Linked DNA regions of Xenopus tropicalis. The protein of the gene in region 1 interacts with the protein of each later gene in a pairwise test. Links are inferred from orthologs where the notes say so. Each region holds a gene or a part of one and is shown in the gene's direction. Other genes may lie near its edges.

Region 1 (8,342 bases):
TGTGTGTGAGGGGCCCAGCAACTAAGGGCTGCGCGTGAGGGGCCCAGCAACTAAGGGCTGCGCGTGAGGGGCCCAGTAACTAAGGGCTGCGCGTGAGGGGCCCAGTAACTAAGGGCTGCGCGTGAGGGGCCCAGTAACTAAGGGCTGCGCGTGAGGGGCCCAGTAACTAAGGGCTGCGCGTGAGGGGCCCAGCAACTAAGGGCTGCGCGTGAGGGGCCCAGCAACTAAGGGCTGCGCGTGAGGGGCCCAGTAACTAAGGGCTGCGCGTGAGGGGCCCAGCAACTAAGGGCTGTGTGTGAGGGGCCCAGCAACTAAGGGCTGCGCGTGAGGGGCCCAGCAACTAAGGGCTGCGCGTGAGGGGCCCAGTAACTAAGGGCTGCGCGTGAGGGGCCCAGTAACTAAGGGCTGCGCGTGAGGGGCCCAGTAACTAAGGGCTGCGCGTGAGGGGCCCAGTAACTAAGGGCTGCGCGTGAGGGGCCCAGCAACTAAGGGCTGTGTGTGAGGGGCCCAGCAACTAAGGGCTGCGCGTGAGGGGCCCAGCAACTAAGGGCTGCGCGTGAGGGGCCCAGTAACTAAGGGCTGCGCGTGAGGGGCCCAGTAACTAAGGGCTGCGCGTGAGGGGCCCAGTAACTAAGGGCTGCGCGTGAGGGGCCCAGCAACTAAGGGCTGCGCGTGAGGGGCCCAGCAACTAAGGGCTGCGCGTGAGGGGCCCAGCAACTAAGGGCTGCGCGTGAGGGGCCCAGCAACTAAGGGCTGCGCGTGAGGGGCCCAGCAACTAAGGGCTGCGCGTGAGGGGCCCAGCAACTAAGGGCTGCGCGTGAGGGGCCCAGCAACTAAGGGCTGCGCGTGAGGGGCCCAGCAACTAAGGGCTGCGCGTGAGGGGCCCAGCAACTAAGGGCTGCGCGTGAGGGGCCCAGCAACTAAGGGCTGCGCGTGAGGGGCCCAGCAACTAAGGGCTGCGCGTGAGGGGCCCAGCAACTAAGGGCTGCGCGTGAGGGGCCCAGCAACTAAGGGCTGCGCGTGAGGGGCCCAGCAACTAAGGGCTGCGCGTGAGGGGCCCAGTAACTAAGGGCTGCGCGTGAGGGGCCCAGTAACTAAGGGCTGCGCGTGAGGGGCCCAGTAACTAAGGGCTGCGCGTGAGGGGCCCAGTAACTAAGGGCTGCGCGTGAGGGGAACAGCAACTAAGGGCTGTGTGTGAGGGGCCCAGCAACTAAGGGCTGTGTGTGAGGGGCCCAGCAACTAAGGGCTGCGCGTGAGGGGCCCAGTAACTAAGGGCTGCGCGTGAGGGGCCCAGCAACTAAGGGCTGCGCGTGAGGGGCCCAGCAACTAAGGGCTGCGCGTGAGGGGCCCAGCAACTAAGGGCTGCGCGTGAGGGGCCCAGCAACTAAGGGCTGCGCGTGAGGGGCCCAGTAACTAAGGGCTGCGCGTGAGGGGCCCAGTAACTAAAGGCTGCGCGTGAGGGGCCCAGTAACTAAGGGCTGCGCGTGAGGGCCCAGCAACTAAGGGCTGCGCGTGAGGGGCCCAGCAACTAAGGGCTGCGCGTGAGGGGCCCAGCAACTAAGGGCTGCGCGTGAGGGGCCCAGCAACTAAGGGCTGCGCGTGAGGGGCCCAGTAACTAAGGGCTGCGCGTGAGGGGCCCAGTAACTAAGGGCTGCGCGTGAGGGGCCCAGTAACTAAGGGCTGCGCGTGAGGGGCCCAGCAACTAAGGGCTGCGCGTGAGGGGCCCAGCAACTAAGGGCTGCGCGTGAGGGGCCCAGTAACTAAGGGCTGCGCGTGAGGGGCCCAGTAACTAAGGGCTGCGCGTGAGGGGCCCAGTATCTATAAGGGGAGAGAGGGGCCCCAGTATCTATAAGGGGAGAGAGGGGCCCCAGTATCTATAAGGGGGGAGAGGGGCCCCAGTATCTATAAGGGGAGAGGGGCCCCAGTATCTATAAGGGGAGAGAGGGGCCCCAGTATCTATAAGGGGAGAGAGGGGCCCCAGTATCTATAAGGGGGGAGAGGGGCCCCAGTATCTATAAGGGGGGAGAGGAGCGCCAGTATCTATAAGGGGGGAGAGGGGCCCCAGTATCTATAAGGGGGGAGAGGGGCCCCAGTATCTATAAGGGGAGAGAGGGGCCCCAGTATCTATAAGGGGGGAGAGGGGCCCCAGTATCTATAAGGGGAGAGGGGCCCCAGTATCTATAAGGGGAGAGAGGGGCCCCAGTATCTATAAGGGGAGAGAGGGGCCCCAGTATCTATAAGGGGGGAGAGGGGCCCCAGTATCTATAAGGGGAGAGGGGCCCCAGTATCTATAAGGGGAGAGAGGGGCCCCAGTATCTATAAGGGGAGAGAGGGGCCCCAGTATCTATAAGGGGAGAGAGGGGCCCCAGTATCTATAAGGGGAGAGAGGGGCCCCAGTATCTATAAGGGGAGAGAGGGGCCCCAGTATCTATAAGGGGAGAGAGGGGCCCCAGTATCTATAAGGGGAGAGAGGGGCCCCAGTATCTATAAGGGGAGAGAGGGGCCCCAGTATCTATAAGGGGTTACAGCGGACTCACTGGGGAAAGGGAAGTTCAGACGCACTACATTACCCATAATGCTACTACATTACCCATAATGCTACTACATTACCCATAATGCTACTACATTACCCATAATGCTACTACATTACCCATAATGCTCTATGCGCCAGATAGTAAAGGGGAGGAGACCCCAGGGCCCGGACACTTTCCCACAAGCCCCTGCGCTCAGCTGTTCGGACACATCAGGGGGCGGTACCTACTGAGGGAACAGCTGATCTCTAACCTCCCACGTGACTCGGGTTCGCTCTAAATGGACGTAACAGGCCCCGCCTCGCTTTCCCCCTTCCACCCAATCAGGGAAGCGCTGTGTCCGGGCCCCGGGCCAATGGGAGCGAAGCGCGGTGACTCACCATATAAGGAGAGGCTTTTCCATAAAAGGAAACATTGTAACGCTTTATAAGGGAGAAAATAGTCCCTCAGCGCCACTCCGGCTCATGTACCCTTCCGCCCAAACCATATTTAATGGGAATTAGTTCCGGCAAGGGGCGCGCAAGGATCTCATTTACACGCTCTGGCGGTGGGAACCGAGTGTGTGAGTGTGATGCGGCTCGGGATGTGATTGGTTGGAGCAGGGAGAGCGGGGAAGCCACAGCCAGACAGGCCGGTCAGGGAGAGGGAGTGCGGCCCGGGCCGGAACCAACAGTCCGACAGCGAGAGAGTCCGGGGGGGCAGGTATCCGTATTAGCCCCAGGGAGAGAGTCCGGGGGGGCAGGTATCCGTATTAGCCCCAGGGAGAGAGTCCGGGGGGGCAGGTATCCGTATTAGCCCCAGGGAGAGAGTCCGGGGGGGCAGGTATCCGTATTAGCCCCAGGGAGAGAGACGGGGGGGCAGGTATCCGTATTAGCCCCAGGGAGAGAGTCCGGGGGGGCAGGTATCCGTATTAGCCCCAGGGAGAGAGTCCGGGGGGGCAGGTATCCGTATTAGCCCCAGGGAGAGAGTCCGGGGGGGCAGGTATCCGTATTAGCCCCAGGGACAGAGTCCGGGGGGGCAGGTATCCGTATTTGCCCCAGGGAGAGAGTCCGGGGGGGCAGGTATCCGTATTAGCCCCAGGGAGAGAGTCCGGGGGGGCAGGTATCCGTATTAGCCCCAGGGAGAGAGTCCGGGGGGGCAGGTATCCGTATTTGCCCCAGGGAGAGAGTCCGGGGGGGCAGGTATCCGTATTAGCCCCAGGGAGAGAGTCCGGGGAGGGCAGGTATCCGTATTTGCCCCAGGGAGAGAGTCCGGGGGGGCAGGTATCCGTATTAGCCCCAGGGAGAGAGTCCGGGGGGGGCAGGTATCCGTATTAGCCCCAGGGAGAGAGTCCGGGGGGGGCAGGTATCCGTATTAGCCCCAGGGAGAGAGTCCGGGGGGGCAGGTATCCGTATTAGCCCCAGGGAGAGAGTCCGGGGGGGCAGGTATCCGTATTAGCCCCAGGGAGAGAGTCCGGGGGGGGCAGGTATCCGTATTAGCCCCAGGGAGAGAGTCCGGGGGGGCAGGTATCCGTATTAGCCCCAGGGAGAGAGTCCGGGGGGGCAGGTATCCGTATTAGCCCCAGGGAGCAGTGTTTGCTTTGCCCAGGCAAGGGGCACTGAGGAGCTCAGGTGGGGCATTTAAGTTTGTACCCCGGGCAGATTGCTAGTAGGCATTACCCCAGGAGGGTAGGTTAGTTATACCTATTATAGGCGGGTTTTGCCCCAAGGAAGGGCAGATTAGTAGGTTTTATCCCAGGAAGTGGTATAAGAGTGGGGCACCCCCCCATGCCCCCTAGGGATGTTGCCCAGTAGCCAGGCCGGGGTGGTGGGGTCAGGCCGGGGGCTGGGGTTGGCCCGCAGGGCAGGCAATGGGGCTGGTTGCCCAGGGGTTAGGGGCCCCGGGGTCCAATACAGCGGCAGCTCTGGGAGCTCAGACTCGGGGGAAGAGGAGGATCCTCCTGGGCGGGGGTTAAAGCGGGGGCTCAACGAGCTTGAGCTGCCGGAACAAGGGGGTGCAGCCGGCGGTGTGGGGTACCCGGGGGCCAGTGGCACGGTGTCAGGGGCAAAACCTGGCAAGAAAACCCGCGGCCGAGTGAAGATTAAGATGGAATTCATCGATAACAAACTGCGGCGCTACACGACCTTCAGCAAGCGCAAAACTGGCATCATGAAGAAGGTAAGTACCCCGGGGCATCTGGGGCAAAAGTACAAACAGCTAGGGTATATCGGGCATAGGGAACTTAGATTGTTAGCTCACTGGGGCAGGGGCTGATGGGAATGGGATAGGGACCTTAGATTGTTAGCTCACTGGGGCAGGGACTGATGGGAATGGGATAGGGACCTTAGATTGTAAGCTCACTGGGGCAGGGACTGATGGGAATGGGATAGGGACCTTAGATTGTAAGCTCACTGGGGCAGGGACTGATGGGAATGTGATAGGGACCTTAGATTGTAAGCTCACTGGGGCAGGGACTGATGGGAATGGGATAGGGACCTTAGATTGTAAGCTCACTGGGGCAGGGACTGATGGGAATGGGATAGGGACCTTAGATTGTATGCTCACTGGGGCAGGGACTGATGGGAATGTGATAGGGACCTTAGATTGTAAGCTCACTGGGGCAGGGGCTGATGGGAATGGGATAGGGGCCTTAGATTGTAAGCTCACTGGGGCAGGGACTGATGGGAATGGGATAGGGGCCTTAGATTGTAAGCTCACTGGGGCAGGGACTGAGGGAAATGGGATAGGGGCCTTAGATTGTAAGCTCACTGGGGCAGGGACTGAGGGGAATGGGATAGGGACCTTAGATTGTAAGCTCACTGGGGCAGGGACTGATGGGAATGGGATAGGGACCTTAGATTGTAAGCTCACTGGGGCAGGGACTGATGGGAATGTGATAGGGACCTTAGATTGTAAGCTCACTGGGGCAGGGACTGATGGGAATGGGATAGGGACCTTAGATTGTAAGCTCACTGGGGCAGGGACTGATGGGAATGGGATAGGGACCTTAGATTGTATGCTCACTGGGGCAGGGACTGATGGGAATGGGATAGGGACCTTAGATTGTAAGCTCACTGGGGCAGGGGACTGATGGGAATGGGATAGGGACCTTAGATTGTAAGCTCACTGGGGCAGGGACTGATGGGAATGGGATAGGGACCTTAGATTGTATGCTCACTGGGGCAGGGACTGATGGGAATGTGATAGGGACCTTAGATTGTAAGCTCACTGGGGCAGGGGCTGATGGGAATGGGATAGGGGCCTTAGATTGTAAGCTCACTGGGGCAGGGACTGATGGGAATGGGATAGGGGCCTTAGATTGTAAGCTCACTGGGGCAGGGACTGAGGGAAATGGGATAGGGGCCTTAGATTGTAAGCTCACTGGGGCAGGGACTGATGGGAATGGGATAGGGACCTTAGATTGTAAGCTCACTGGGGCAGGGACTGAGGGGAATGGGATAGGGACCTTAGATTGTAAGCTCACTGGGGCAGGGACTGATGGGAATGGGATAGGGACCTTAGATTGTAAGCTCACTGGGGCAGGGACTGATGGGAATGGGATAGGGACCTTAGATTGTAAGCTCACTGGGGCAGGGACTGATGGGAATGTGATAGGGACCTTAGATTGTAAGCTCACTGGGGCAGGGGCTGATGGGAATGGGATAGGGACCTTAGATTGTAAGCTCACTGGGGCAGGGGCTGATGGGAATGGGATAGGGACCTTAGATTGTAAGCTCACTGGGGCAGGGGCTGATGGGAATGGGATAGTGACATTAGATTGTAAGCTCACTGGGACAGGGACTGATGGGATAGGGACATTAGATTGTAAGCTCACTGGGGCAGGGACTGATGGGAATGGGATAGGGACATTAGATTGTAAGCTCACTGGGGCAGGGACTGATGGGAATGGGATAGGGACCTTAGATTGTAAGCTCACTGGGGCAGGGGCTGATGGGAATGGGATAGTGACATTAGATTGTAAGCTCACTGGGACAGGGACTGATGGGATAGGGACATTAGATTGTAAGCTCACTAGGGCAGGGACTGATGGGAATGGAATAGGTACATTAGATTGTAAGCTCACTAGGGCAGGGACTGATGGGAATGGGATAGGGACATTAGATTGTAAGCTCACTGGGGCAGGGGCTGATGGGAATGGGATAGGGACCTTAGATTGTAAGCTCACTGGGGCAGGGGCTGATGGGAATGGGATAGTGACATTAGATTGTAAGCTCACTGGGGCAGGGGCTGATGGGATAGGGACATTAGATTGTAAGCTCACTAGGGCAGGGACTGATGGGAATGGGATAGGGACATTAGATTGTAAGCTCACTGGGGCAGGGACTGATGGGAATGGGATAGGGACCTTAGATTGTAAGCTCACTGGGGCAGGGACTGATGGGAATGGGATAGGGACCTTAGATTGTAAGCTCACTGGGACAGGGACTGATGGGATAGGGACATTAGATTGTAAGCTCACTGGGGCAGGGACTGATGGGATAGGGACATTAGATTGTAAGCTCACTGGGGCAGGGACTGATGGGAATGTGATAGGGACCTTAGATTGTAAGCTCACTGGGGCAGGGTCTGATGGGAATGGGATAGGGACCTTAGATTGTTAGCTCACTGGGGCAGGGACTGATGGGAATGGAATAGGGACCTTAGAGTGTAAGCTCACTGGGGCAGGGACTGATGGGAATGTGATAGGGACCTTAGATTGTTAGCTCACTGGGGCAGGGACTGATGGGAATGTGATAGGGACCTTAGATTGTAAGCTTACTGGGGCAGGGACTGATGGGAATGGAATAGGGACCTTAGATTGTAAGCTCACTGGGGCAGGGACTGATGGGAATGGAATAGGGACCTTAGACTGTAAGCTCACTGGGGCAGGGACTGATGGGAATGTGATAGGGACCTTAGATTGTAAGCTCACTGGGGCAGGGGCTGATGGGAATGGGATAGGGACATTAGATTGTAAGCTCACTGGGACAGGGACTGATGGGATAGGGACATTAGATTGTAAGCTCACTGGGGCAGGGACTGATGGGATAGGGACATTAGATTGTAAGCTCACTGGGGCAGGGGCTGATGGGAATGGGATAGGGACCTTAGATTGTAAGCTCACTGGGGCAGGGACTGATGGGAATGTGATAGGGACCTTAGATTGTAAGCTCACTGAGGCAGGGGCTGATGGAATGGGATAGGGACCTTAGATTGTTAGCTCACTGGGGCAGGGGCTGATGGGAATGGGATAGGGACCTTAGATTGTTAGCTCACTGGGGCAGGGGCTGATGGGAATGGGATAGGGACCTTAGATTGTAAGCTCACTGGGGCAGGGACTGATGGGAATGGGATAGGGACATTAGATTGTAAGCTCACTGGGGCAGGGACTGATGGGAATGGGAAAGGGACCTTAGATTGTAAGCTCACTGGGGCAGGGACTGATGGGAATGGGATAGGGACCTTAGATTGTAAGCTCACTGGGGCAGGGACTGAGGGGAATGGGATAGGGGCCTTAGATTGTAAGCTCACTGGGGCAGGGACTGATGGGAATGGGATAGGGACCTTAGATTGTAAGCTCACTGGGGCAGGGACTGAGGGGAATGGGATAGGGACCTTAGATTGTAAGCTCACTGGGGCAGGGACTGAGGGGAATGGGATAGGGGCCTTAGATTGTAAGCTCACTGGGGCAGGGACTGAGGGGAATGGGATAGGGGCCTTAGATTGTAAGCTCACTGGGGCAGGGACTGAGGGGAATGGGATAGGGACCTTAGATTGTAAGCTCACTGGGGCAGGGGCTGATGGGAATGGGATAGGGACCTTAGATTGTTA
Region 2 (7,094 bases), on another chromosome or scaffold:
TAATGGAGAACAAAAGGCTAAGTCACTTGGGGGTACCAACATGTTTAAGAGTGCTTTTTGCGCTCGGGGGTATAGTTCTTGTCAGACAACTATCGACAGCCATATGATTGGGGCAAAAACTAAGCACAGTGTGCAAGGCGTAGGACAAGAAAAATAGGTTACTAGGTGAGTGTAACAAATTTACTGAAACCAGTTTAATACAGAAAAGCATGATTCTACCTTGCAAGTTTACGTTGTTGCATCTGGCTTCTCTTAGCTTATTATTTCTGCATGAGTAAACTTCAAATGCAAGTCAAGATGTGCATACAACAATTTTGTCCCTGAGGAAGAGCACAGTAAGTGCTCGAAACGTCAGATCTTTTCCAATAAACACGTTTTTGCTTTTTCCTAAGTCCCCGTGTGTGCAGCACTCTGTTCCTATATATATATATATATATATATATATATATATATATATATATATATTCATCAAGATAAACAGAATTGAATGTGTATGCAGAGGTACCTGAGCCGAAATAACAATAATATGTAATTTACAGTACAATGCAATCTCTGTGTGTGGTTTAATTGTTGTGTTATTTTAGGCATCTTAACAATGCAGTTACTGGGTTGCTCTCCTTCTTTTGCTATTCTCCTTTCATCATATTCAGTAGAGCACCGTTTCTTAATTTGTGGTGGCCAAAGCATTATCAGGACTATTATTTTATTTTTTATCTATTATTTATATAAAGCCACACACATTTATGTAGTGCTTTACAGAAATTTTATGTCAATAACATCAGTCCCTGCCCTAGCAGAACTTTTCTAATCCTCGGTTCCTATCCCATTCACACACATGGCCCAATGTAATCAATAGCCAGTTAACATGCCTGTATGTTATTGGAGAGTGGGAGAAAACCCAGAGTACCCAGAGTTCTGTATTTTTGAGTAAAAGGGCGGTTTGTCCCTTGTTTCCTTTTTTTTTTGTGCAAAAATAGGTCCCCGCTATCTGACTATGTCTTCTAAATATTTGTAAAGCATTATAATTTGCCCTCAGAAGACCCATTTTATAAAAGATAATACTACCAGCAACACAAAGCAGATATAAGCAGGCAGTGTGTTTATTATGTAACAACGATTTCTCATGAACACCAAATGGATTGGATTATTGGCTTGTGTATAAAGATAGGTCAATCGGAATCATATAAATTGTGAAACCAAAAATAGAAATCAGTGTGGGCCAAAAGGCACAAGTATTGCATTATATGACTTATTCTTTCTGGTACATCCACACTTTTTTAGTGGCCTTACTTTGGCTACAAGAAGGATTTTTGATTCTTTCACTGGGTGGCATTACACTCATGTATATGTAAGTTTATTCATATACTCATAGTTTCATTAGGTACTCATAGCAACTGTGAGAGTAGGAAAAGCTAGTTAAGCAAATTACCAGTTCACAGATTAGTTATTTTTTATCTGAAACCCAGACACACCGAGCTTATTACCTCTGTATAAACAGTCTGTCATCATTACAAGCAGAGAGAGAGGGGAGAATAAAAACAAATAAAAACTAATATAAAAAAAAAAAGCAAAACAATATAAAATGGTTGCCATATGCCAACTGGCAGGCATACTAGTGTTTTCCTCTAGTTGTGCCTAAAGGTTGCCATACACAGGCAGATTTAAGCTGCATATTGGAGTCCTTTAGACTGATTTGGCAGCTGGCCAAAATCCTCCAGATGTCGGGCAAGTTTGATTTTTTAGTTGTATCGGGGGCTGCGTCAGCTCATTGATGCAGTCCTCACTCGGACCCAAAGCCGGAACTAGGGGTAGGTGACAAGGTACCACCAGTTCCGGACCCTTTCCCTCAATTGTGCAGCGGCCCATGTAACCTCCCGCCGCTCTGTGTGCGCATGCACCGGTGGGGGGGATCGATGGGTGTTGGCAGTGGGCGGGCCACTGCTCAGACCACTTCTATTTTTGTCGTTAGAGCCAAACCATTGTTTAAGCCTGATATCGCCCACCTTAGGTGGGCATAATGGGGAAAGATCTGCTTGTTTGACGGCCTGGCCAGACGAGCAAATCTTATAATGTATGGCCATCTGAAGGGCTGCTAAATAGCTCTTAAATGCCTAGTAACACTGGACATAAAGAACACCAGGAGCAAAATGAAGCCATTTACTGCCTCAGTAAATTTTGTGTATCGTGACATGCAATAGATAGAGTTTTTCTGAGCTGATTAAACATAATCTATTTTATCATTTTATCATTTTTTATGGTATCGTGTTTTGTTTTTTTTTATGATTTTTATTGATTTTCAAATATAAAGAAAACAGAGTAACTAATAAAAAGTCAGATAGGTGTCAAGTTTTGATCACTGTTGCCTTATCTGGATGCCTAATAATGCCTAGTGCAGTGTTTCTAGTTATCTGTTTAGTCAGTTGACACAAACAGCTGGTTTTCAAGATAACCAAAAGCCTTGTCATCACAAAAGTACTAATTGCAATAATCTATTTTTAATCGGCATGTTCATATTATTCATTTTAGGGCTGTGACAGAGGAGCAGATTAGTCGTCGGGCGACTAATGTCCCCGAAATGCCATCCCACTGGCTAGAATGTAAATCGGTGGTGGGATGGCATATGTAGCACCGAAATCCCCGAAGTTTCCTCTCAAGGCAACTTCGGCAAATCGCTGCACCGCGTATGCCATCCAATCGGTGGTGGCTATTAAATGTAACTAACATTGACTTGTTACTGTTTCAGACTCCTATTCTGCTGACCCCTAGCCCCTTGTTGTCCAGCATACACTTCTGGAGCACACTGAGTCCAGTGGCCCCTCATAGCCCTGCCAGATTACATGGAGCAAGCACTCTGTTTCAGGTAGGTGATCAATGATTCAGGTTGCATCCACAATAGTAAGGGGTTCTAACCCTCACAAAATGATTTATGTAAATTTAATCAGAGTGGTCATCTGAACACTTTTGCAATTTACATTAATTTCCTGATTTTAGTGGATTCGAGATATTATCAGTTATAGTCAGTTTTATCAGCACTTTCTATGCACCTGCATTGCAGTCACGCAGGATTGCTTTCTTTCTACATTTTAGAGAGAAACATGGTTTTGATCCCCTCTAAATTTAATAGACAGATGTAATTTATGTATTGAAAGGACAAGCAATTCTGCACTTCTTAGACAAAACAACCCCAAATGTGTTAAAACTGTACTGAGGCTGATTGATAATGCATTCATGTATGATGTTGCAATATATTCAGATTACCATTGTAATGCCTTCTTTACTTAGTAGGAGCCAGCCAGCACATTTAAAGGTCCCAGCTGCATGGCCTATGCATGTGTGAATGAGTTTCTAAAGAAACCAAATAATGTTGGACAGGAATTTTGCCTGTTGTGTCTGCTTTATGGATTGTATTGCAGCATCTGACATTTATTTTCCTATTTAGTTTCCATCTGTGTATAACAGCCACATGCCGTTCACCTTATCAAGTTTCGACAGCCCAACCACACCTGGACCTTTTTCTCCTGATCTTCAGAAGTCCTAGCAGAAACCTTGTAATATCAGAGCAAACATGAAAAAACATGTAGGGTGGGATGTACTAGAAAAAGAAAAAGTTATATATTCATAAAGTAGTAAATATCAGTTGCCACAAGTAGAAAAAGAATCGTACTGAATTTAGGGACACCATGTTGCTGAAAATGTTATCGAGATCAATTGCACTTGGAAAAAAAGTCAACTATGAATCAGGTGACAACACAAAGTCAGTAGGAGCCTACTGCCTTGTTGTCCTGACTAGTTTTTAATTTCTTCATCAGATCAGTTACTTTTGGTTAAATAATAAAACTCCTTAGCTGTTTTTTGCCTTTTAATAAACCTGTTTACCAGGAGAAGGATGCAGTTTGGAACAAGTTGGAACCTTTGAAGAATTGAAACACCTCAAGCATAATTCAAGGATCAGTCAAGGTCCATTTTGACTCAGGTGGAGGTACTGTTCAATTTTCATTTTTTTTAAGAGAATCTAAAGCACTTAAACATATACTGTAATAGGCCAAAGGGAAACAGTGGACTTATGCTATACTCAAGAGCCATGTCAGCCATGTTTGTACTGCCACCTAAAATCCTAGTAATGTTGCCCAGCTGGCTATGATCTAACTTAACTGTAGCCACAAAACAGGCATCTAGTGCAATTCTTAATAGTGCAGTATCTCCAAGTCCGGAATTATTTTATTGTATATACAAAAATATATATGGTTAAATAAAATCATACATTTTGTCATTAGATGGTTTAAGAAAAACTCTTAAATGGCTCTCACATAAACCAACTGTTACATTCAATATATCTCAAAAATGGTGGAAATCATCAAAAGCAGTTAGCACTAATTTGCCTTATCTGATCCATGGGTATATATACTTGTGGTGGTAAGATACAATGCAAAAAGTTGGAATTAGGAGCTCTATATATCCTACGATGAAGCAGTGTTTTGGATAGATTTTAAAATACATACAAATGTAAAGTTATATATTGGAAATATTGTTTATATCCCAGTTAAAGGTTTGCACTTTTACTGATGACTTTGTATGGCTAGGAACTTTGATTTTGAGAAAATGGCTTTCTGCTTGTGGAAAGATAAAATCTGGCTCATGTGATTATGTACAGCCTCTTACATAGGACCAATATGTAATATCAGTCACGTGTTTGTTTACTGTGACTTTATTTTGAATGCGATTATTGAGTATGATTGGGTCTCAAATGCGGCTGGCCTCCATTTTACTGCTTTCCTTTGGCCAGATCTATACTGGTGACATCTCTTGTTTAGCATAAAAGAGGAGCACCACTTACTGGCAAACCTATTCTGTTTTTTGACTCCTTGCAATACATTCATTTCTGTTTCTTAAAAGTACTAGGAGCATAAGCCCGGCAGAATATATTTGGAAAAGAATTAGTTTGTGTTGTATATTTTAGCTGGGTACTTGAACTGCTGTCTATAAGCATTGCATTCCTTTTTGAATTAACTGAGCAGCAATTGCTAATTACAGCTTTTTTAACATAACATGTATAATATTTTTTTATTTTTTTTTTTATATTTCAGTAAATGTTTTATTGAGCTTCTAGTAACGCTGTTAGCAGGGGCAGTTGTTCACATACCTTTTCCTAGAAGTTAAAGCTTCCAAATCTGATATGAAAACCATGTCCCTCGTATAACCCCCTAAAGCTTAGTGTGCCCCATTGAAGGGGTAAAACCTGAATGCAAGGCTGTCAAATTTGTGTTTCTGCATTCTGTTTTGGCCTGTCCAACATGTTTGCTGGCAGCATGGGTAGTGACATGAGCAAAGAACCTTGGCATTGAAGGGGTAAAGCATCTGCGGTAATTTTCCAAATGGAAGTCCTGAAGAAACAAGATCTGAGACTGTGAAGAATTAAACTTCCTTGCTTGTTCCCTGAATACTCCCATTTATTCATCTGGCCCTAAGTTGCTGATATTACCAAACAGCCAGTAACCACCTAGAGCAGTCTAGATCCCATGGAGCATGTGCAGTCCCATCTGCACCAATGAAGGGACCAACCACACTTAAAGGTCACTTAAAGGGATTCTGTCATATTTTTAATGTGTGTTTTTTATTACTAAATTACAATTAAATTGTGGCCCAGCATGTTTTTTACTATTGAGTGCTATTCTCATATCTACCACTTGGTGGGGCATGGGATCATTTTTAGCAAAGCAGGTGTCCGGAAGCTCTTATCTGGTTACTTGCCCATTGTTCTGTTGATAGCCTGCTGTGGGGGAAAGCAGGGGATGAAATAACTCCAACTTGTCACGTGGTTGAGGGTACCTGGGAAACTAAGAATATGTCTAGCCCCACATAATATTTTAAAACTAAATACTGAAAAAAAAATTGTTTTTGCTTTTTTGAAAAATGAATTTTAATGCAGGATTCTGATTCTGGAAACTATTTTTGTAAAAAAACATAATTTTCCGTGACAGAACCCCTTTAAAGATCTCTGGTAACTGTGTATGTAGGTAGCAACTCATTGCAGTTTTTGAGACATGTTCTAGTTTGAGCTTCAACAGCTTTAAACAGAGCAAACTTTTAGAGTTAGTGTTTGCTTTGGAGGACAGAGTGTAGACCCAGGTGTCTTGGGGCCTTGTCTCCAGCCTATGGGGACTTTGCCTGCTCCCAAGCCAGTTGTGAATCACAATTTGCTCAGCTTGATGCTGGACACAGGTTAATAATGGGAAGGTAGGGGGGCGCCTTTTATAGAAGTGATTTTCGATGAGTAGCCTTATGTAGGCATAGTGACACTTTCTTTTTAAAACTGGAATGTGTCCCTTTCCCTATAAGTTAATGTGCAGAGTTCACTCCTTATCTTTTCCAAAGACATTAATGTACATTTTTGTATAATAGCTTACATTTTAATATAATATTCTCTTTTTTTAATGCATTGTTCTAAACCAAGGTGGTTTTAAAAAGCTGATTAAAAAAACCCAGTTTTCTTAAATGAAAGGCATACTGTGGTCAATACAAAGTGCTTACTTTGCCAGAACATTGTGTAATATATAAAATAGCATTTTTTTGGGTAAATGGTTTTACTCTTTCAAACAGTTTTGGCACCTTTTATACTTGCATGGGGGAAATGTATTTCTTTGACTCTCAAGATAACAAGTTAAGCCCCAACTTGCTTAATGGCAGGGATTCTAGATAAGCCCTCAGGATCAGAGCCTTACACTTTAGCATTTTCATGCTGGAATCTGCCTGTGACAGGTGCTTGCCATTTAAGTTGGCACAGGCAGTGTTTTCATTTCAGTGCACGTGGAGAAAACGTAAGTAAAGTAGTGTGACAGTAGCCTATTTAAGCATAAATGTTAAAGTGGTAGTACTATCATGTTATACACTCTTGTTCAACATGGCTTCAATGAATAAGGCTTATGCTGAACATACTTTTGTTGTTTTAATTACAAAAAAAAACCTATGGTTTTTGTTATTTTTTTATGTGAACACCACAACTATGGAAATTGAAGGTACATGATGTTAGATCTTTTAATGTAGATAATTATATTACCAATTCCCCCCCCCCCACCTTCACAATTTGTATAACTGTT

What was found.
Region 2: the proteins of srf (region 1) and elk4 interact in a two-hybrid assay, tested with the Homo sapiens proteins (2 studies listed by BioGRID and IntAct). The link is inferred for Xenopus tropicalis from reciprocal best matches to the Homo sapiens genes SRF and ELK4.

What each region holds. Positions count from the first base shown.
Region 1 is NC_030681.2:1,166,053-1,174,394, reverse strand, and holds the start of srf (serum response factor), read left to right. Parts: upstream 1-2,963; 5' UTR 2,964-3,996; exon of another isoform or gene 3,997-4,076; 5' UTR 4,077-4,310; coding exon 4,311-4,688; intron 4,689-8,342. UniProt on the Homo sapiens protein: SRF is a transcription factor that binds to the serum response element (SRE), a short sequence of dyad symmetry located 300 bp to the 5' of the site of transcription initiation of some genes (such as FOS).
Region 2 is NC_030678.2:73,347,212-73,354,305, reverse strand, and holds the end of elk4 (ETS domain-containing protein Elk-4), read left to right. Parts: intron 1-2,743; coding exon 2,744-2,860; intron 2,861-3,439; coding exon 3,440-3,538; 3' UTR 3,539-4,331; downstream 4,332-7,094. UniProt on the Homo sapiens protein: Involved in both transcriptional activation and repression. Interaction with SIRT7 leads to recruitment and stabilization of SIRT7 at promoters, followed by deacetylation of histone H3 at 'Lys-18' (H3K18Ac) and subsequent transcription repression.